Linked DNA regions of Stegostoma tigrinum. The protein of the gene in region 1 purifies or fractionates together with the protein of each later gene. This does not show direct contact. Links are inferred from orthologs where the notes say so. Each region holds a gene or a part of one and is shown on either strand. Other genes may lie near its edges.

Region 1 (7,559 bases):
TTGTGAAGTCTGCGGCACATGGCAGCCCATGGAGTGTGGCTCACTGGTAAGCCTCACACTGCAAGGGACCCAGGTTCAATTCCAGCCCCAGGCAACTGTCTACATAGAGTTTGCACGTTGTCCCTGTGATTGCATGGGATCCCCCTGGGCGCTCTTGTTTCCTCCCACAGTCCAAGGATGTGCAGGTTAGGTCAACTGGCCAAGCTAAACGGCCAAGCTGGGCGGCACGGTGGCTCAGTGGTTAGCACTGCAGCCTCACAGCGCCAGGGACCTGGGTTCAATTCCAGCCTCGGGCAACTGTCTGTGTGGAGTTTGCACGTTCTCCCCGTGTCTGCGTGGGTTTCCTCCAGGTGCTCCGGTTTCCTCCCACAGTCCAAAGATGTGCAGGCTAGGTGGATTGACCATGCTAAATTGCCCATAGTGTTCAGGGGTGTGTGGGTTATGGGGGGATGGGTCTGGGTGGGATGCTTCAAGGGGTCATGTGGACTTGTTGGGCCAAAGGCCTGTTTCCACACTGTAGGGAATCTAATCTAATCTAAACTGCCTGTAGTGTCCAGGGATGCTTAGGCTAGGTGGATTAGCAGGGTTAGGGGGTGCTTTTTGGAAGGTTGGTTTAGACTTGATGGGCTGAACGGCCTGCTTCTACACTGTGTCTGTGGTAAGAGCTTAGCTTCAGCGGGGAGCTTATGAACGAGGCTGAACTAGAGACACTGTGATGTATGACTGAGGGGGAAGGTTACCTGGATTTTCCCATACCAGGAGGCAGTCATACCACTTAGGATAGAGTCTTCTGATTTGGTCAGTGTTCAGGGTGAGTAGGCTGTATTTGTCAGGCAGCTAAGGGAATGCAGGGCACAGAATGCCAGTCTGTGCAATTGCCCAATAGCTGTGGGGTTCTCTAAGCCTGTTTGGATGAGAACAGGAGTTGCGGGCTGGATAAAAAAAAAACTGACTCTGGCACTGTGGTACAGGAAACCACTTGAGTCAAGAGAAAAACAGGGAACATAGTGGAAGCAGGGGATCGTACAATGAAAGGGACTGACACTCTGCAGCAAACAGTGACAGTCCAGGTGTCTATCCTGCCTGTCCAGTGCCAGGACTCAGGCTATCTGCTCAAAACTGGACAGTGACCTGCAGCACAACAGCGAGGATCCAGTTGTCATGGTCCATGTAGGTACCAACAACAGAGAGAGAGTTAGGAAAGGGGTTCTGGACCGGGAGTATGAGAAGCCAGGCACGGAATTAAAAAGCAGAGCCTCAAAGGTTTGAATCTCTGGATTACTACCTGCGCCGTGTACAAATTGGCATGGGGACATAAAGTTAGAGAGGTGAATACATGGCTCAATGATTGGAGTGGGGGATATAGGTTCTGGTTTGTAGGCCACTGTCACAAGAGCTGGGAGAAGTGGGGACTGTACTCTTGGGGCAGTCTATATCCAGAACTGCGCTGGACCCAATGCTCTTGTGAAATTTAACAGTGAGGACTAAGACACTGGATGTGGCATGTCAGAAAGTGGAGACTGGGTAAGAGAGGTAAACAGTTATGTGGGAATTGAGGGTCAGAGAGATAAACCAGGAATACTCCAATAATCAAGACTAAATGTCACAAAGACAATAAAAAACAAAACTAATGTCTCTGCTTAAGAATCTGCACTGCATTTATAATAAAGTAAATATCTTGATAGTGCACAGTGAAATTAAGAAATACAATCTGAGGGCCATTACGGAAACATTTGTTATCTCAGATTCTTCAGCATCTGCAGTTCCTATTATCTCTGCAGGACAAGAAGGATTGGATCCTGAATATTGCAAGTATATGATATTCGAAAACAAAAGCAAGTTAGATAAAGATGGATGATTAGCAATGTTACTCAAAGGTGGCACAGTGTGTAACAAAGTATATAGGGTGTTTGTAATATAAAGGGACGGCAATGATCATGGGTAACTTTAATCTCCCTGGTACCCAGCACATATGGGAATTGGGAGCTTTTTATTTTAGCAGCATCAGACGGCTGCATGAGAAATGACTCAAGAAGAACGTGCGTTGTAAAACTGTGCAGCCAGAACTGTTCATAAACACCTGGCCATGGTAGGTGGTTCTGAGTTTATCGATAAGATAATTCTTGAAATGGCTTTAATAAAACATCTGATCCTTTATTCCTTTCCAATACCTATCGCTGGTCAAGTATAATATGCGTGCATGTCTGAAAACTGAAAACAAAACCTTAAAACAGAAAGTCTTTTTGAAAGCAGCTTGGAACAGACATGTAGGCACACTGAGTTTAAGCCCCTTAGAAAGACAAAACAGTGGTTCAGCGGTTAGTACCGCTGCATCACAGCACCAGGGACCTGGCTTCAATTCCACCCTTGAGTGACTGTGTGGACTTTGTATGTTATTCCTGTGTCTGCACAGATTTCCAACCACAGTCCAAAGATGTGCAGGATAAATGGATTGGCCATGCTAAATTGCCTGTAGTGTGCAGACTATGTGGATTAGTGTGGGAAATGCAAGGTTTACAGGGATTGGGTGGGATGTTCTTCAGGGGATTGGTGTGGACTTGATGAGCCACGTAGACTGCTTACACATTGTAGGGATTCCAAGGTCATAAAAAGACCTCACTTTTCGGGCCATTCAAGCGAAGCTAAGAATTTGTCAACAAGGTTTGAACAGATCTGAATGATCGTGGGGCACGAGGAGGGCGTAAGAGGAAAATTGAGTTGAGGCCACAATCAGACATTCCATGATCTGTTTGAATGAGGGGACACATCTGAGGGGCTGAATGGCCCACAACTACTCCCTATTTCTGAGATAGTAGGAACTGCCAATGCTGGAGAATTGAGATAACATGGTGTGGAGCTGGATGAACTCTGCAGGCCAAGCAGCATCAGAGGAGCAGGAAAGCTGATGTTTCGGGTCTGGATCCTTCTTCAGAAATAGTCCCTATTTCTTCTGATTTTACCCACCCTCCATGTCAACTTGGTGATTGGGCTGGTTCTGAGGTTGGCTGTTTTTGAAGGTCATTGGGAAATGTGACCAGAAACGAACAGTTCAGCAGGTCAAGAAGAGGATCCCCCAAAAACCCTTCCCCTGAGTCAAATCCAAAGCCAATTTTGGGGGCGGAATGGTGTCTCAGTGGTTAGCACTGAGCCTCACAGCACCAGGGAACCAGGTTCGATTCCAGCCTCGGGCTACTGTCAGTGTGGAGTTTGCACATTCTCCCCGTGTCTGCGTGGGTTTCCTCCACATGCTCCGGTTTCCTCCAACAGTCCAAAGATGTGCAGGTTAGGTGGATTGGCCAGGCTAAATTGCCCATAGTGTTCAAGGGTGTGTGGCTTATAGGGTGGGATGCTCCAAGGGGCGGTGTGGACTTGTTGGGCCAAAGGGCCTGTTTCCACACTGTAGGGAATCTAATCTAATCTGTGCCAATATGTGAGTTCAAAAATGACTAGTATCTTCCTCTCCAACAAATGCAGAGAGCTTCGGGTCACCTGAGCCACCTCAGGAGATGCTGACCACCAGGGTGCAAACCAATATCTTACAAGGCAGGAGGCAATAACAGTGCCAAAACCTGCCATTTAAAATCCGCCCGCTCACCTCAAACCTTTAGCGAAACAAAAAAATCCAGCAACCGGAAAAACAATCCAAGTTTGCGCTCAAGTTTCGGGCCGTCCCTGACCGCCTCCAAAGTTCCCTGCCTGATTCCAGACCCAGTGGTGACCCAGCTCTCTGATGAAGGGTCTAGGCCCGAAACGTCAGCTTTTGTGCTCCTGAGATGCTGCTTGGCCTGCTGTGTTCATCCAGCCTCACATTTTATTACCAGTGGTGACATGCCCCGCCCCATCGTCAGACCCCGCCCTTTATCGGACCACGCCCCACGGTCAGACCCCGCCCCATCATCGGGCCCCTCCCCACTATCGAACATCGCCCCGTCCCCAGACACCGCCTCATCGACGTGCCCCGCCCCATCGTCAAATCCCGCCCCGTCCGCAGGTTCCGCCCATCCTGGGGCCCCGCCCCACGGTCGGAAGCAGACTGACGGTCAGGCCCCGCCCCGCCTCCAGGCCCCGCCCATTCACCGCTACCGCTGAGCTCCGGCGTTTCGCGCCTTTCTCGTTGGCCACCTAAGCGCTGGGCGAAGGACCTCAGCGAGCTCCCCCGGTTTGATTGGCCCCTTTGAATCCAAATGGCGGCGCGGATTGGCTACGGGTTTGAATCAGGGAGGGAGCGGTTGGAGGGGGAAGAGCGAGCGAGTGGCGTTCAAACTGCGGCGGGAGCGGGCACGGCAACGGGTAGTGTTGGTCTCTCTGTGTCAGCCCAGCGCTGCTCGGCCTGTTACAGCAGCCCCTTCGTCATCGCCGCCGCGCTGCTTGCAGGTTGGCCCCGGCGGCAGGTGGGGACCAGGAATAAAAACCGCCTCCCGGGCGATGGGAGATCCCCTCCCATCGCCCGGCTCGAGGGGTACGTCGGGGGTGGCAAACCTCAGGCCCGGGCTGAATCTGGGCCTCCTGGACGTGCCCGAGGTGGTAGTGGTTGGAAGGGTGGTCGTCAGACTAACTTCTGAAGGCTACACGTGAACCTATTTTTTTAAACTCACGGCTGTAGCACCTGCTGTAATTGTTAGTGTCGATGTTTATTCCTGTTTTTGTAGAGTTGACCAACAATCTGCTTTGGTTAGATGAGGCTGAGGGGGTTTAAGAGCGGTTTCTATTATAAGAGTAGCGAGATCATTAACCGCGGACAAAATTTGAAATAATTGGTTTAGAGGTGAAGTAAGTAACTTTTCGCATCCAAAGGGGTCGTAATACCTGAACGAATTGTGCCTTTAACATACTTGTGTATTTGTGGTGCTATTAACTACAGAATTACGGACCAAGAATTGGAAAAATCATCACCATTCCAGTACTGAAGAAGGGTCCTATCGCATTTGAAATATTTATTTCTCCAAAGATAGTGCCAGACCCACTGAATCTCACCAGCGCTTTGTTTTTATTTAACAATCTGTACGCTCACAGTACTTTTGATAGTTAAAAATGGGACTGGGCTTGAGGACTCATAACTGTCAAAGATGTAGCGATTGAGATGTACAGCATGATCTTCATTCTTAATACATTCATGGGATGAGGGTGTTGCTGGCTTGGCAGCACTATTGCCTATCCGTAATTGCCCAGAGGCAGTTCAGAGTCTAACATATTGCTGAGTCTAGAGCCGCATGTAGGCCAGACCAGGTAAGGAAGGTAGTTTCCTTCCCTAAAGGACATTAGTGAACCAGGTGGGTATTTCCTGACAATTGACAATGGATTCACAGTTGTCATTAGAGTTTTAATTCCAGATATTTTATTGAATTCAAATTCCCCCATCTGCTGTGGTGGGATTCTGGTCCCCAGAATGTTGTGTGGTCTCTGGATTAACAATCCAGCAATAATACAACCACGTCATTGCCATCCCCCTTTTGTCCAACTCGTCCATGCCGAACAGTTATCCTAAACTAATCTAGTCCCATTTGCCACTACTTGGCCTGTATGCCTCTAAACCTTTCCTGTTCATAGACCCATCCAAATGCCTTTTAAATGTTGTAATTTTTCCAAGCTTCCACTTCCTATGGCAGCTCATTCTGTTACATATTGTGTGAAAAAGTTGTCTGTTGGGTCCCTTTTAAATCTTTCCTCTCTCTCCTTAAACATAATTGACTAAATTGTTTCTTCTGTGCTGTAAAAGCATACAAAAGCAAGGGAATTATGGTGAACCTTTGTAAAACTGATTTGACCTCAACAAATACTTTCCATACTGTACCACATGAGCCTAAATTGCATGGATAGGGTGAAACTGTTCCTGATCTTGGAAGAATCACTGATTTAAGGACATGAAGTGACATGAAGCGCAATCTTTCTCATCTGCAAGTGGTTAGAATCTAGAATGCAGTGCCTGAGAATGTTATGAAGGCAGTCTCAGTTATAGATTTTAGAAGAGTTTTTTTTCTCTGAAGAGAAATCGTGAAAAGTGGTCTGGTGAGACTAGCTGTTTTGGGCACCTGCCATGAACATACTGCATGACTATCTATTTCCACCCAACCTGTGTTATCACTATTCTGAAATTATCTGCTTCTATCAATGAATGTCATGGCCAGAAAGGCTGTTGGACCGTGGGTCTGGAAAATCTGGTTATTTCATGCTGTAGGTGGTTGCCTCGTGACCTCCTCTGGAAAGTGTGGGCTTTGGCATGTTTTAGTTATGATGTCCAATCATGCTCGTTGGCCAGTACCATAGTGGTTCAATTGTGAAGAATATTAATTATTCTTCTCACTTAATTGGATGCTTTAGAGTCGCCAAGACTGTCAATCTGGAGAAATTCTGATACCAGCCCCCCTCTTTATATGCTGTATTGCTGACATTAGGTCAGTTTTACTGCTTGTAATTTTCTTCATCTAAAGTCAAGGTACGGAAGAAATTTGTAACATATGGGCTTATCTGAATTTCAACAGACCATCTGTCCATTACACTGGTCAAAGCTGCAAGGATCAACCTGTATCAAAGTTATTCCTAGAAGATTTAACCTGGGTCTTTTGCCTGTTAATACGGGTAAGTTTTCTGATATTTTAAATTTTAACCTCTTGATCCTTTGTAAGTTCTTCACCTGTTGTTTAACATTATGAACTTTCCAAGTTTTCTTCAAAATTTACAGGCAACTATCACAATGACAATGAGGTAGAGCTTTCTTGGGGGAACCAAAATGCATAACAACACACATCCAAGTCAAACATATCTATCTTCCCCTCTGTCACAATTATCACCAGATTGTTGCATTGTCCAATTTATATTTTGATAATAACTTGTCAGAAGATCTACAGGCAGATTCAAGGATAACTGATCAAGGGCATTAAAACCAATTGTTAGTATCCAGCCAAAGGAAGGGAGAAGAAGTTAAGAATGAACTGCAGTGATTCCTTGGCATACTGCAAAAACTGATTCCCTTTACTGCAGGGAGTAAATTATACGGTGTAATCAAAAGTAGTGCAGTTTGGCTACATAGAAACCGACTGACTATGGTTCAAGTAATAAATACTAAATGCTCTCCAGGTGAGAGCTACTTGGCAGGTCATTTTAAGAGAATGAATGTGAGATAGGAATAGGGTTAAGAGAATCATCAGCTCCCACAGGAAAGTTAACAGGAGGGAACAGGTCTAAAATTGTTGAATCCTGAGGGCAGACCTGTCAGTATGATTGTTCCCTCTGGCACACTGGTTCACAGTATGTGGAATTTTTTTAAAGGGAAGGAAAATTTGTTTGGTCATAGCATGATGCTGGGTGATGTGGGAAAAGGTGAAGGATGATCTGAGTGCAGTAAAAGATATGAAGTCTGGGTGGGGTAAAAGATTGTAAAAGTGTAGACTGATAGGAATTCTTGGTTAAGAAATCAAGACCTCTTGGTTCATAGCTTGTATTTTTGCAGTATCTCTAATAAAATGTATAAGGTGCTGCCTGGGTATAATAGAATATGTAAGGAGATGACTAACAGCTTATTCAAGGATGCTGGTTTAAAACTTAAAGGAAGAAAGGGGCGT
Region 2 (7,819 bases), on another chromosome or scaffold:
TTATCCTTGGCTGCTACCTCATGCTGTACTGTTCAAGCTTTAACTGCTTCCTTCCCTATAGTCAATCGAGCACGCACCAGGCCGCCTTTGTTTCACTTCTACAACAATGCCTGCCTTTTACCCATCTGTCTTTCTTTCCCATCAAAACCCAATTCCATACATTTATAGGTCGATTACTACTCTCCTCCAATGATAACTGTCCCAATTCTATCATTTAAAAATCACAGGTACTGAGAATGTTACAGCTATTCCATCTCCTACATGAAGGCCTTATTACCATTACACCACCAAATTCAAGTAGCTTCCTACTGCTGCAAAGAACTGGATTCTCTTTCAAATCCCTCCAATAACTTTCCTACCCATCCAATAACCACTGCACTCCCCACCGGTGGCCACATAATGCATGATATCCACCATCTCTTCACCCTTGAATACACTCCTATGTCTGGATTGTTGCCCCATTGTTCATTTCTCACCCTTTGTGTTTCCCCTTCCTGCTTTTCTTTCTGTTGATTTATTTTCTTCTCTACTTGGGACTCTTTCAAAATTTTCTTCCCCATATTCCAATCTGAGACATTTTTGAAGGCTCCGACAATGTTCCAAAATATTAGTGTATGGGAACATTGGAGCAAGAGTAGACCATTCACTTGGGTTCATTCCACTAAATTTGATCATGGCTGATCATCTACATCAATCCAATCATTCCACTCTATCCCCATAACACTTGATGTTAGAAATCTATTAACTTATGCCTTGAACATAATGCAACAGTGCCCTGTGTGGCAGAAAATTCTTTTAGACTAACACCTCCACTTTCCCAGCTAGGGGAAATATTGTTCCACACCCAACTTGTCCAGTTCTTTAAAAAATTTGTACATTTCTAAATGTTAGTGAACATAGGCCCAGCCTCCTCAATCAGTCCTCAATTACAGGAATTAATCTGGGGAAACTCTGGAGTTCCCTCTACAGCATGTATATCCTTCCTTAGATAAGGTGACCAAATTATACACAATACTTCAGATATGGTCTCACCAAGGTTCTATACAATTGAAACAAAACATTTTTACTGTTTACTCAAATCCTCTTGTAATAGAATCCAACATGCCATTCACCTTCCTGATTGCTTGCCGCATCTGTATGTCATCTATCAGTGACTTATGAACAAGGACCATTTTCCCCTTTGGGCATAAACACTGCTCAATTTCTGAAGAAATACTATGCACCTCATTATTCCTATCACAAGTGAATAATCTCACACTTATTCATATTAAATTCCATCTGCCATATTTTTTCCCATTCTTTGTATCCTCCTCACAATTTAGATTCCCACTTAGTTATGTGCGATCAGCAAACTTAGAAATATTACATTTGGTCCTCATTTCCAAATCATTGACATAGATTGTGAACACCTAGGGCCCAAACACTAATCTTTTACCCATCTGTTTCTTTCTGTTAACCAGATTCAATCCATGCTAGTATATTGCCCTTTATCCCACATGCTCTAATTTTCCTCACTAATATCCTAGGTGGTACTTTACCAACAAGCTTCTCAGAATCCAAGTGCACAAGATTCACTAGTCCAATAGCTCCCCACTACCAACTAAAAAAAACTCCAACACGTTTGTCATTATGATTTTCATTTCATACGTCCATGTTCACACTGACCAATTGGATGATTATCAGCTACCATACATTTTATAGAGTCCACTATTTTTCCTATCACTGATGTCAGGCTACCACACCTGCAGTGCCTTATTTTCTCTTTGCTGTTTTTCTTAAGTAATGACATTATATTTCAACGTTTACAATTTGGAAGTATTATACAGAATCAATAGAATCTTGAAAGATGACAACAAATGCATCCACTCTCTCTAAAGCCACCTCTTTCAATACTCTAGGTTGTGGATTATTGGATCCCAGCAATTCAATTTTCAGTCCCAGTAATTCTGCAGGACTACATTTTTTTAAACCACACCTTTTTTTCAGTTCTTCAATTCATTAGTTTCTTTGAACTATTATTTCTGGGAAATTTCTTGTACCCATTCCCATTATAAATTACCCCATATCTGTTTGTCATGGACCCACATTTGTCTTTCCTATTTATATACGTATATAAGCTGTTTTTTTTTGTTTTGGGTTGGGTTCATATTCTATTCTCCCCATATTACAATCATTAAGAACTTGCAACAAACTGTCATGCACATGGTTGCAAAATTCAGCATAGCTATTGAGGTGCAACAAATGCAACGATCCGATGCCTTGTCTGAATGGCTTTACAGAGATAAACAATCCTTCAATGGCTAGATCAAATATGAGACTACTGCTATATGTGCCCATAGCAATTCATATGCAAAATCCTAACTGAATGTTGGACGCTCCATTGATATTCTTCCCTATTCCACTATCCCGTTCCCGTTTCGCTGTCAAGGATTTAACAGAATTTGGCGCAAATTAGATTATTGAGTGACAGGGGTAAATGCTGTACTTTAACTAATAAGAATAACTCATAATGGTTAAGATAACCTCTCTGAAGTTTGTCTTATATAAGAATCGGTGATTCCGCATGCATTATAAGCCACCACCGCCCCCCCGCCCCCCGAAGATGGGGCGGGATATAATGCTCAAGTGTACTAAGACTGATTGTAACTACATTTGGAAAATGTGCTCTGGGTAAATCGGAGATTTATTTACTTTGTGTCAGCTTTGTTTGGGCGATACATCTTGAAACACATTACAAATTACTCCACGGTTTTACCAAAGGAGTCGTCGTTTATCCGAGAGAAACACAAATACGGCGTTTGCCCTTTCCCTGCAGTGTCCCCAAAAGAGTGATTCAAAAATATACTAGGTGTGATTGCGAAGCACAATAAAACAATTCTAAGCAATGATAATTTACACTGAAAATACTTTCTGAATCAGTTACTTTCTAGCTTTTGTCTTGCGACCTCATTACAATCAAGACCGTTCATATTTTTCTTTGCTGCGCCCAGTATTTATAAGTAAACACAGCGCAATTAATGTGCAAACAGTGAGATCGACCTCTGCATTTCAGTTCTGTTGACGTCCTAATGTTTACCAAAATTGACTGTTTTCTTGGAATACAATCACAGAACATGTTTTACAGTGAGATCTGAGTCTTCATTTCGTTTCCCAAATACTACATACACTGAGGTGAAGGAAAAGTCGCCTTTACGTATCGAGTCTCGAAAAGCGATCCCTGGATGTCTTGGGTAGCTCCTAAACATAACACCTTGTAACAGCTATGAATGCGTCTAGAAGGCTCTCAAACAACTGCCGAGAAATCAACTACAAGACGTTTTTACGGTTATGTTTAATTCTTGAAAACGACATCATAATTTCTGACGCGCCCTTTTAGCACTCTGTGCAGTCACCTGCTGTATTGCTGAAGGGAGACACGAGTTGCCAGTTAAACTACAGTATCTACAATGAAAATATGATTTACAAACTCTCACCCACGTTAATATTTTAAAATAGAAAGAGAACCCCGTATTTTGTGAATTCGACTACATTACTATTGTTTCATAGCCTTTATTCTGCACTCACCCGGCCAGTTTCAGATGATTAATCCACAAAAGTGGTAAACTGCACAATTGAGAGCGGTTATTGGCAGAAAGTCCAAGATCGGAGTTAAAAAAATTCCGCCAAGAAACATGTTTACGTCGCATAAAAGGAAACCAGTTAAGATTTTAAAATATAACCGACACACTGTTAACCCCTTGAGCACTTTCCAGTAAAGTTACTCGGTTGGTCATGCGTGCTGCGGCTGTGCTCAATCATTAGCGAAATCATTCATCTCACTGAAAATTCTCCAGTTTTGGGATGTCTGAGCATTCATCGAGAGCAATTTTCATGAATAGCCTGATTACTCTCGATCATTTATTGCGAGGTGTTTGCTGCATTTGTAGGATTTTAACAATTAGTAATGTGCATTTTGAGGTGTAGGATAGCTGGTTTATAAACAAAACACTTGGATGTGCTCATGAGCTGCCCTATCGTCCAGGGCTACGGACCAAGAGTTGGAAGCTGGGAGGGAGGCTGGATGACGTTTACCCGTCTAGTACGGAAACGATGGACCAAATGCACTCCTACGCTGTCATATGTTTTTTTTAATGTCCCTAATAGTCGGTATAAAGTCACTTCAATGAATCTAAGTGATGCAATATGTAGGAGAATTCACGTTTGCTGCGGGAGAGCTGTGTTTGCTGCGGCTGTCGGGTTGATGGCGCTACGAGCTGACTCCTCTTTAGTAGGTTTCACGCTTCGCTAATACTTCTCCATAGGCGCCTACCTCTCACTCTCCCTTCGAGGAGGGAGGGGGAGAGAAGAGAGAGATTGCTTGTCAATAAACAAAACGTTTTTAGATCATTACAAGGTCGCTCCCAGCCTAGAGCAAGCTCGTTCCCGAGTCCCAGCCCTACACTTGAGGGCGGGACAAGGGCGGAGCAGCTTCACTCCGGCCAATCGCAGGGTGCTCTCTTTTTAAAATTCCCTGTCCGTCACTCAGTTTCCTCTTCGTCAGCCTCCTTCGCCATATTGGGTAACTGAAAAAAAAGCCAGTTTTTTTTCCGCCTTACTGGAATCAGTTTTGACGAGCGATAGGTTGTAAACTGCTGCTGTTGTTGGCGTTTTTGTTGTGGTTCTGTGCTTTGCAGCTTTCTGAAGAATTGCACGATATTGTTACATCGTGTAACCTTGCAGTCCTGCTGTCTGTGAGGCTTCGGACGATTTGCAGCGAGAGGGGGTACGAAGGGAAAAAAAATGTCAAACGTACGCATTTCTAATGGTAGCCCTTCGCTGGAGAGAATGGCAGCTCAGCAAGGAGGGCACCCAAAACCTTCAGCCTGCAGGAATCTTTTCGGTCCCGTAAACCACGACGAGTTGAACCGAGAGTTACAAAAGAAACAGAAGGAGATCCGCGAGCAGGACAGGCGGAGGTGGAATTACGACTTCGAGAGGGACAAGCCGCTGGATGGGAATTACAAATGGGAAGCCGTGGATTGCAAGGATGTGCCTCATTTTTACTGGGGTTCTCCCAGGGAGCAAGTGTCATCAGCCGATTGCAGTATGGATGTGAACGGGAACCATGCGATAGTTTGCGCAGGAACTCTGGCTCAGGGAAATTCAGGGGAGACACACTTTGCGAATTCAGAGCAAAAGGACGTGGTTAAAGAGACAACTGAACATTTCACGGACTCAAAAGAGCAGTGCTGTAGTCCCCGAAAACGAGCTGCGTCAGTCGGTAAGTGACAAAGATGTACTCTATTGGGAGTTGCAGGATCCATTTTCAAACGGACCTTTCTGACCTTTTTTTTCGCGCAAAAAGAAGCTTTCACTGCCAACCAGTGGTTTATTCACATATTTCCGCGGACCTGCTTTTAAAATCGTGCAGTTCTTGGTCTGTTTGGGGTTAAGCATGAGTTCCCCTACGTTTGAAAAAGGATACTGCAACTTCAAAGGCCTTTTACAAAGATGAAGCAAACGGCTTTTCTCCCCCCTTCAACAAGCTTGAGATGTGGTTGACTACTACCCATCAGCACGACGAACCTTCATTAAGGAGTAACGCACATAATATACTATCATACTGAATTTTTTTTTACAAATTTTAATTTAGCTTTTCTTGATTATAGATGGCTTTCCAGAAGCAAAAAGAACCAACACAGCGACGGAGTCAGACTGGTCAGCAAATTCTCCCAATATAAATACATTAGAGAAGACGCCGAAGAAATCGATTTCGAGCGGGCATCAAACATAAAGCAAAAGTGACAAGGTAGCTCTTCTGTACCTTTTTTCAATTGACTGTCTCCTCCCAAAATATCATATAACAACAAAGGTAGCAACAAGACTTTATACTGCATTAACCGGTTGGCCTCACTGGCCCAGGTTTGAAAGCGTACACAGGGTTGTAATGTCACTCGTGTTTCTTTGCTATATTTTCTGACCGACACGTATGCACAGGTGATTATTTCCAGCTGTTTTCAAATAACCAGATACACTGTAGCGTTCTGCACAAGTTAAACATCTTGGGTGTCCTTTCCTTCCCTCCACAATACGGTAGATTGCTTTGCACAAGTCTTGTCAATAAAGTCTCAGGACTGACTGCGAAAACGTAGTACATTACGCGGGGGAGTGCGCAACCACAACTGTAATGTGTCTTTGTAGGCTTTATACATTGGGCATTTTTTCCCTTTACGCCAACTTCCAACATTAATACAATAAAACAAGAAATAATCACGATTAAAAACAGATCACAGGAGGAAGCTGTTCTTTATCTCCCCGGCTGATGTACAAGCAGCATTCAAAATTACACTTGCGGTTGAGTCCAAGGTTGTAGAATAGCTGCATGGCACATATATTTTAACGTTTCTCTCATTTCCCCTATGATTTTATAAGTTGTAGTAAAATGTGAGTGGCGGGACTATGTGGTGTACACTCAGGTTTAATATACAAACAAGGGGTGTGGTGGGGAAGCTAGCTTTTTAAATAGCTAGTCTCAACAAATTAAAATTTAATGGAGATGCTTATTTCTTGGCTCTGTCCACATTCGTAGTCAAAGTCGTGCATTGAAAATATTGTCCACTACTTTTTGTGAAGTATTGTGTATGCTAAACTGTCTTCTGTATCAGTTTCAGATAGAACAAGGTGTGTTTGCACTGAGATTTTAAAACATCCTAATTAGACTACAGATATATTGCCCTGTGCAGTTGTGATATTTCTTTAAGTTGGTAGGTCTAACTAGTCAGATCCAAAAACTCTCTCTTTAAGAAACCTATATAGGTGACTTTCTTTCAGGTAGTGCTGCCACACTCACCATATCTCCCCCCTGGCCCAAAGCAAATCAGTTTGCTTTTTAAAGGAAAGGCCTGGATGCACCACAGCTAACTATATTCAATAACAAGTAATACATATTTGTGCATTTGAAAATTATAGCAACTAGTTAAATGTGGTTCTTGTGTCTAAAGTCCCACCATGCTGACAAATGCATTTTTTGATTACTTCCAGGCAGTGTAACTTGTCCAGTTGCTAGATTTTTAAATCAAATATTGAAATATCATGTTAATAACATGATCATATCTGTGCACAAGTCTTAGCACTAATGGTATTAGTTGGCTCAGTGTCCAGTTGAATAACCAATTGCTTAACCCTTTTGCCAACTGTACCCTGTAATCAGCAGCTGAGTTGAAATTATCAGTGTAGCTATGCCAAATAGCATTTTAAGTAATTCCAATGATACATAATTACCAAACATTGTATTAATCTTTTTACTTTGTATTTTTCCTTGTTAGGTATGAAGATCCTTTTTTTTCCCCCTTGTTCATCCATGGCAGTGCTTGATGAAGCGAGGACGATCTCCTCAGAGACAGACATATCGTTATCTCTCCAAGTGTGGAGAGCCCAGGCACTGAACTTGTGAACACTAAACCGCTGATTTTAGAGTGGATATAGCGCTGTGCAATTAGGTTCTTCCTTTATCACTTGGCTGATTTTACTACCTGTGTACATAGTTTTTTTTTGTAGCACATAAATCATTTTTGGGGGGTGGGTGGGGTGAAGGGGAGGAAGTGGGAAACTGTTAAAATGCAGAGTTTAGAAAATGTATGACTTGAATAGTAGCAGTGTAGTTTTCCAATGCAGTTTAGAAACTGCAAAGTTACAATACCTGTGTATTGTATGTTTAAAAGAATAAAAAAATCTAAAATGTACCTGTGTACATAACTTTGTAAAGACACTGAGAAATTATACTAACTTATTTATGTTATAAAGAATTGATGTTTTTGAAATCTAGAAGATAATTTTCCGT
Region 3 (8,050 bases), on another chromosome or scaffold:
AGGTGGGGAGGTAGGGAGGGGATAGGTCAGTCCAGGGAAGATGGATAGGTCAAGGAGGTGGGATGAGGTTAGTAGGTAGGAAATGGAGGTGCAGCTTGAGGTGGGAGGAAGGGATGGGTGAGAGGAAGAACAGGTTAGGGAGCGAAGACAGGCTGGGCTGGTTTTGGGATGCAGTGGGTGGAGGGGATGAGCTGGGCTGGTTATGTGATGCAGTGGGGGGAGGGGACAGACTGGGCTGGGTTTGGGATGCGGTAGGGGAAGGGGAGATTTTGAAGCTTGTGAAGTCCACATTGATACCATTGGGCTGCAGGGTTCCTAAGCGGAATATGAGTTGCAACTCATATTCCGCTTGGGAACCCTGCAGGCCAATGGTATCAATGTGGACTTCACAAGCTTCAAAATCTCCCCTTCCCCTACCGCATCCCAAAACCAGCCCAGTTCTTCCCCTCCCCCCACTGCATCACAAAACCAGCCCAGCTCTTCCCCTCCCCCCACTGCATCACAAATCCAGTCCAACCTGTCTCTGCCTCCCTAACCTGTTCTTCCTCACCCATCCCTTCCTCCCACCTCAAGCCGTGCCTCCATTTCCTACCTACCAACCTCATCCCACCTCCTTGACCTGTCCGTCTTCCCTGGCCTGACCTACCCCCTCCCTACCTCCCCACCTATACTCTCCTCTCTACCTATCTTCTTTTTTCTCCATCTTCGGTCCACCTCCCCCTCTCTCCCCATCCCCGTCTCTGATAAAGGGTCTAGGCCCGAAACGTCAGCTTTTGTGCTCCTGAGATGCTGCTTGGCCTGCTGTGTTCATCCAGCCCCACACTTTATTATCTTAAAGTCACTCCTCAACCTCCTACGCTCCAATGAAATGAGTCCCAACCTATCCAGCCTATTTTTGTAGCTCAGACTAACCACTCTCAACAACATCCTGGTAAATCTTTACTGAACACTCTCCAATTTAATAATATCCTTCCTATAGCCAGGTGACCAATTGTGTGTAGAGGTGTGACACAATGATATGGGGGGGGGGTACAGTTTTAAGAACTCTTACCATTGCCACATTTGGTTTTACGTAAGCAAGAAAGATAAATAATTTTGTTCATAAATGTCACTCAATTGCCAAAAAAAACAACAGGGATGTTTTTCTGCAATGGTACAGGGCCTTGATGAGACCACATCAGGAATATTTTGTGCAGTTTTGCTCTCCTTACCTGTGGAAGGACGTTCTGGCTGTGGAGGGAGCACAGTGAAGGTCTACCAGACTGATTCTTGGGATGAAAGGAGTGGTTTATGAAGAGAGACAGGATCAGTTTGGACTATATTCACAGGAGTTTAGAATAATGAGGAAGAATGTCACAGAAATCTATAAATTTCCAGAAGAACTAACCATGGTAGATGCATGAAGAATATTCTCGATAGCTGGGGAGTCCAGAACCAGGGCTCACAATCTCAAGATACAGTGCTGGCCATTTAGGATTGACAAGAGGATAAATGTCTTCATCCAAAGAGTGGGGAGCCTGTGGAATTCTCTGCCACAGAAAGCCGTTCAGGCCAAAACATCGAATTTTGTCAAGCAGGTAGATATAGTTGCTAAGACTAAAGGGGTCAAAGAATACGGAGAGAAAACAGAAACTGAGTTGGATGATCAGCAAGATCATATGGAATGGGGTGGCAGCTTAGAAGGGCTGAATAGCCTTCTACCGTTCCTATTTTCTATGTTTCTAAACTACTGAGTTTGAGGGCAATTAGAGACGGCCAATAGACACTGCCCTTGCCAGTAATGCCTATAATCCTATGAAAGAACAAAGAAAACATGCAACTGAGCAGCGAGGCTTTCCGTTTTGGTGGAAATTAATATGAGGCAAGTTCTGAAGAATGATCGCTGATCCAGAGGCGTTAAAGTGTTTCTCTCTCCACAGATGCTGCCAGACTCGCTGAGTTGCTCTGGCATTTTCTTCCAAAATGACAACTGGGTTAACCTGCAGAGATGGCAGGAACTGCCGATGCTGGAGAATCTGAGATAACAAGGTGTAGAGCTGGATGAACACAGCAGGCCAAGCAGCATCAGAGGAGCAGGAAAGCTGACGTTTCGGGTCTGGACCCTTCTTCCGAAAATCTGCCATCGTCAATATTTAAAAAAAACTCTTCGTAAATGAAATCAGTAAATCAAACAGCAGCGTGTTGAAAGGCGTGAGATTTTATACATATATAGCCTTTTGCCAGTAATAGCGGCTAGTTTAGTTCTGGAGATTAGATACCGAAACAATCCATATTAATCTTTCATCTTTGCCTACAAACTTGTCGTGACGCTTATCGCTGCCTCAGTCATTTTCCGCCTACCTGGAACAGCACTGGGTTACCTGTCCAGTTAACACACCTACCGTACTAACCTGTGTAAGCGCCGCCATCCACACTCTGTGCTGACACGCTTTCGAGTGTCAGCGAAAATCCGGGTTGAATAAAAACACGCCAGGAAGGTTTACAGCGATATTATCGGCAACATTTTTATTTTATTTTGTGTGTGGAGCGCTTAATGGAGATTTTTTTTAGAAGTTCAATCAGCAACTTGTTTCTGTGTATTTTTGTTAATTTCTCTGAACTTTCTCATGGCGATCGGAATGGGTCACCGCCTCCTCTTTGAAAATGGAATTGCGTTCCAGTTTTCAGTGAAAATTAGTTTCGATATTAAGAGTCACAGGCCAGACCGCGGCCACCGTTTAGATGTGAGCCTGAAAGTAAACCCACGCTCTCATTTCCACCGCTACTATTTTATTTTAAAATAAAGAAGCTCCCCCTGCCCCAAAAGGCAGAATTTCACAATACACAGCATCATCGCGCCGGGAAGTGAAAGTCTACAAAACGTGACTTCCGACCCTCCGCCCGCTCTGCGCTGAATTTGCTCTCGCACTGGCGGCGAGTGAGGGGCAGAGTTGGAGAGATGTTACCTCAGCGTTCCGTTCCCAAGCCCTCCTCTGCAATAAAACAGTACCCCACGCCCTAGCCCGGTCCAGCCCTTTGTTTTGTTATTTTTTCTCACTCTTTAAAAATAGATCCTAATAATAGGATTATAATTTTATTTGCTACAAATGCTGACACACAGGAATGTTTGGGAGCGGTGTTTTTCGGGAATGGGGGGGTCATTGCAGGACTGCGAGGCGAAATCTTCAGGCAATCAGTAGCGTCGTTTCTGTGCGTGGTGGTGTGTGTGTATATTTTAAGTGAAATGCACAGATCCCTCCTCACATCCGTTTTGACAAATGATCTGAGTTGCTCGGCAAAAGCTTCCTCTGTTCGGAACAATAGCTTAGCTGTATTACGGTAATTAGATGCAAGCGGAGCATGTGGAGCTGTTAATGTAGGAGCAACTTGGAATCTCAGGAATGTCCCGGCTTCCATTAATGATCATGCGACAAAATTCACAGCGAGAGAGAGAGAGAGAGAAAGGGGAAAAGAAATAAGACTCTAAGAGACGGAGAAAGGGAGGGGAGGGGGTAATCTTTCTCACCATTCAATAAAATTATAGGAGCGATTAGAAAGAGAAAATAACAGGCCAGCCACAATGAATTAAAAATAAGACGATCTTATCTCTGAATCACCATTAAAGCAAAGGTTACAAAGGGCTTGATTGAAAAGTTTTGCAATTCTGTAAAACAGAAAGGAACTGTGATTCAGTACAGTGTGTGTTTAAAACAATGCAACACATTTACATCAAGGTGATCCCGATTTTTCAAGCCGCACGCCCGGCCCCCCGCCCCCCCGATCAAACTCCATTGTGAGCGCCCACATTCCTTCGAACAAAAGAGACGGCGCTGGATGCCTGAGTGATCGATGATCGCTGAGGCTCCGGGCTCGTTGATCTGCCTAGTAACAATCTTTTCCGCCATTGGCTATGCTAATACCTTCGCCTCTTATTTCTACCGGCGTAAGGGGTTTCCTCTGACAGACCGAGCAAGTTTTGCCAACTGAACTTCATCCCTCCCCTCCACCCCGATTCCGGAGAGAGAAAAAAAATCTTTTTCAAGTGAAGAGAGAGTTTTTGTTTTTTTTAAAAAACACGCAGAAATAAAGAAGCCGGGAAGAGGAGCACATGCAAAGCAGGAAGCGTTGGGGATAGACTAGGCTGACCCCTGGATTGCGAAGCTGTCGTAGCAGCAGTGAAAAATTAATAACCATGGGGTCGGAATTTTGCACAAATGCAAATGATCATAATGCACCAAAATGCATGTTTTATCCCAGTGGGCACAGTAATCGCTTCCTCAGATATATGCGTGCGCGGCTGCTTTGCACGGACCTAGAGGTTTTCAGTGTAGAATAAATCTTATTTTTAACATTAATTCTGCTCCCATTGTACCCAATGCTCGCGACTTTCACTGAACTGTCAGTCAATCGTGGGATGACTGACAGCTGAGTACAAGTTCCCACTGAATGCAAGGACTGAGGTTTAATTTTTGCAAATATGTAAGTGTGCAATGTTGCACACAGATCTGGGAACATGTCCGGCTCCTAGACACACACACAAAAGTTTCAAAATAAGCCCCCGTCGCCGCAATAAGGTTGAATTTGAGTGGATCTTGCTTCGGAATGGGGGCGGCTTTATCAGCTCCGTTGCCCTTCCCAACCCACACAGACACACACACACACACACACCCCCACCCCCCGGGTTGGCCTCTCTCGTTCCTCCTTTGATCTTCCCAGCCGCAGCTGCTCTACATAACAACTCAAAGCCGATTGCGTCACTCGCGGGCAAGTTATAGTTAAAGTTTTTTTTCCCCTGAACTAGAGCCTCCAGAGGCAGCAGCATCCCTTGCTTTAGTCAATGCAATAAGGAGAGAGAGAAAGAAAGGAAGGAAAGGGGTGAGAGAGAGAGAGAGAGCAGAGCAGAGCGCCCTAGCAATGGAACATCAGCTGCTATGTTGCGAAGGAGAGGCTATCAGAAGAGCTTATAACGATCCCAATCTCATCAATGATCGTGTCCTGCAGACTATGCTCAGAAGCGAAGAGAACAGCCTGCCCTCTCTCAGCTATTTCAAGTGCGTCCAAAAAGACATTGCGCCTTCCATGAGGAAGATTGTTGCGACTTGGATGCTGGAGGTTTGTGCACAGAATCTTATACAGAACCTAGATATCTCTCTCTCTCTCTCTCTCTTGTAGTTATACTCTGGGTATCGAACGATGTGCAGGACCTGACATTTGTGCTTTGCAGGACGTCAGTGCAGCCCGATTCTGCCCAGATTTTTTTTAAACTTGCAAGCTGGCGGCACAACTGTTGAATTTGTCATAGAGACCCCTGTAAATTCCACCCCCGCCCCGCATCCCAGCCATCCCGCTTTCCTTGCTTTCCATCTGAGTGGGGTTACTGATGTAATGTTTTAAATGCAGTTCCTCTTACCGCTCTCTCTCCCTCTTGTCCTCTAAACACCTCCCTCCCACACCCTTTGCTGTGTGCCCACAAACAGACCCACACTCACCCCTGACCATGAGCTGGTTACGGGGCAGTAAGGTGAGGTGATGTATTGGAAGGGCCGGTCGATGGGGGGAGGCTGCTATGGAAAAGGAGAAAACGCTCTCAATGCCGTATCCCAGTCACCCAGCCCATCTACCCCTCTCTCTGTCCCTCGGCCCCAGCTCCTGGGGCTCAGAAATGAATTTTAACCCCAAAATGAGGTTGTACACGTATGCAGCTCAATGCGTGCCAGTATTCAACGCCATCTTTGTTCAGAATAACTCGAGAACCCCCTCCCCTTCCAAACGCCTCACTGGGTCTGGGCAAGGATGGGGGGGGTGCTTTTTACCTCTTTGGGAGGGTGGCAAGCCCAGGGTTGCGGGGGGAATGTTGCTGAATTTCCGGGTGTGAAACTGACAGAGATTTCCTCCAAAGTCAGGGTCTCAGCCAAAACTTCCCAGACCCTGTGTATCTGACCCCTCTCGGGGAGAAAGGTCTCAAATTCATGGGCAAAAGTGGGGTCAGAGGGCTGGAGAAGGCGCCCGGTACAAAGTTGAGAGCCCGCTGCACATTTTCGTGCTGTTTCCGTGCTGTTCCGCCCTCGATGAGTATTTTTAATCATTTTTTGAAGGAGCGCAGCGGCTGGTTTATGATCGGGGCGCAGATTGCAGCGTTACCCCCGGGGGGACTCTCATTTCACTCCCTTTGGCAAGTTTAACCACCTGAAAATGCCCCCAGCATTGGCCAGTTAGAAAGAGCGCCGGTTGCGCTGGATTTTCGTCCCCTTTTGGGCGCCCGGGCTAATTTTTAAATATTTTTAAATATTTTTTGAAAAGATGACGACGCGAAAATTCAAGCCGGGTTTGGGAAAGAGGGAGAGAGACAGGAGGAGGGGAGTCTGTCTGTCTGTCCAACTCAGTCCAAATTCCTGGGTCTGAGAAAAGGGTGAGAAGGAGAAATGATGGAGGGTGAGAATTTTTTTGGGGGGGTTACGGGTGTGTGGAATAACCCCCCCCGGCACCCTCCAGGTAATTTTCCACTTTGTGGTGTTGCCCCTTCTGTAGGTTTGCGAGGAGCAGAAATGCGAGGAAGAGGTGTTTCCGATGGCCATGAATTATTTGGATAGATACCTGTCGATCGAACTGACCAAGAAGACCCACTTGCAATTACTGGGAGCTACTTGCATGTTCCTGGCGTCAAAAATGAAGGAAACGATTCCGTTAACAGCGGAAAAATTGTGCATTTATACCGACAACTCTATCCGGCCCGAGGAATTACTGGTAAATAGCCAATCTCTTTCCCTGTCCGCCCCCCCAAAAAAAACGCCAATGCCCTCTATCTGAGCTCAAATCTCAGTCCTCAGAACTCTCTCTCAATCTTCCTTGAATATCTCCTCCTCCAATGTATCACCAGCAGTAACTCCTTCCCAGCTCTACCCCCCCCCCCAGATATTGTGCAAACACAGACACTTTCAACCAGATTCTCGCATTTAAGGAGTATTCAGTGATACTCAATTTGCAAGTCTCTTCCTAATGCTCCTCAAGTTAATCAGAAGCAATGTTTCACAGATCCCCTACGCGCCCCCCCCCCCCTACACACAAATAAAACACAAGCATCTATATCCCATTCACAAGCCCCTCCAATTTGGGAACCCCCAATAATTTTCTTTATCATCGTGCGCTGACAATTATTTCCGCTTTCCCCCAGTCCAATAGCCGGAAAAGAAACTGTTGCAAAAGGAATCTCGAACGTTGTCACTGAGTTTTAGAAGTAGGGCTTGAGGGATTTTTCGTTTTTGTTTTGTAGATTCTCGGTGTTCCAGACTTCTGTTGTTGAACACTGAACAGTTCTGGGGTTTTATAAAGTGGAGCGTGCAGGACCTCAAATGCAGAGGAACTGAACTTAATATTTTAGCCCCACTCCCCTTGTTTCTGAGGCGGAAGGCAATTGCGAGGGGGTGGCGCCCTCTTTTGAGATCAGCGGCTGTACCCTGCTGGGACCCTGCTCTGAACAGCGTCCTGTCGATTAGATATCAAATCAAGAGCAGATTAGTTTATTTCTTTTGTTTTTTTAAAAATGTATTCCATAGGTCACAGTTGCGCACAACATACAGACTCTGTTTAAACTCAACATTTACAACAGTGATTTTATTTTTTTCCTAACTTTGGTACAATGCGGAAGCATATTAAGTATCTATTTTCCAGCAATACGTTTTGCAAATATGCCAGTGGTATCTAAAATACATTTATTCTCAACAGAAGCACTTCCCAGCCCATTTTAGTCATTTGTTTAAAGTACAGTACAATCTATCAGTCTCTGCTGCAGGACTGGCACAGCCCACATGTGTATGTTTCTGTTTCAGCAAATGGAGCTGCTTGTGCTCAACAAGCTGAAGTGGGATCTAGCCTCTGTGACCCCCCACGATTTCATTGAACACTTCCTCAACAAGCTACCCATACCCAAGGACAGCAAGCAGATCATCCGCAAACATGCACAGACATTTGTGGCTCTATGTGCTACAGGTACGGAGTCTCACTCAAACAACTGTGTCAAGCTGGGGGGGAAGTGGAATTACTGTTCATCTTCCTGAATGGTAGGGGCCAAGCA

The links.
Region 2: the proteins of cdk1 (region 1) and cdkn1bb purify together in Homo sapiens (affinity purification with mass spectrometry; 8 studies listed by BioGRID and IntAct, counting the BioPlex papers as one, with this or other methods). This does not show direct contact. The link is inferred for Stegostoma tigrinum from reciprocal best matches to the Homo sapiens genes CDK1 and CDKN1B.
Region 3: the proteins of cdk1 (region 1) and ccnd1 purify together in Homo sapiens (affinity purification with mass spectrometry; 4 studies listed by BioGRID and IntAct, counting the BioPlex papers as one, with this or other methods). This does not show direct contact. The link is inferred for Stegostoma tigrinum from reciprocal best matches to the Homo sapiens genes CDK1 and CCND1.

The regions. Positions count from the first base shown.
Region 1 is NC_081373.1:51,575,633-51,583,191, forward strand, and holds the start of cdk1 (cyclin-dependent kinase 1), read left to right. Parts: upstream 1-4,134; 5' UTR 4,135-4,159; intron 4,160-4,238; exon of another isoform or gene 4,239-4,391; intron 4,392-4,435; exon of another isoform or gene 4,436-4,459; intron 4,460-4,496; exon of another isoform or gene 4,497-4,617; intron 4,618-6,479; 5' UTR 6,480-6,576; intron 6,577-7,559. UniProt on the Homo sapiens protein: Plays a key role in the control of the eukaryotic cell cycle by modulating the centrosome cycle as well as mitotic onset; promotes G2-M transition via association with multiple interphase cyclins.
Region 2 is NC_081371.1:28,400,336-28,408,154, forward strand, and holds the start of cdkn1bb (cyclin dependent kinase inhibitor 1Bb), read left to right. Parts: upstream 1-4,442; 5' UTR 4,443-4,779; coding exon 4,780-5,260; intron 5,261-5,648; coding exon 5,649-5,773; 3' UTR 5,774-5,788; intron 5,789-7,304; 3' UTR 7,305-7,819. UniProt on the Homo sapiens protein: Important regulator of cell cycle progression. Inhibits the kinase activity of CDK2 bound to cyclin A, but has little inhibitory activity on CDK2 bound to SPDYA. Involved in G1 arrest. Potent inhibitor of cyclin E- and cyclin A-CDK2 complexes.
Region 3 is NC_081370.1:61,635,465-61,643,514, forward strand, and holds the start of ccnd1 (G1/S-specific cyclin-D1), read left to right. Parts: upstream 1-4,673; 5' UTR 4,674-4,893; coding exon 4,894-5,091; intron 5,092-6,507; coding exon 6,508-6,723; intron 6,724-7,805; coding exon 7,806-7,965; intron 7,966-8,050. UniProt on the Homo sapiens protein: Regulatory component of the cyclin D1-CDK4 (DC) complex that phosphorylates and inhibits members of the retinoblastoma (RB) protein family including RB1 and regulates the cell-cycle during G(1)/S transition.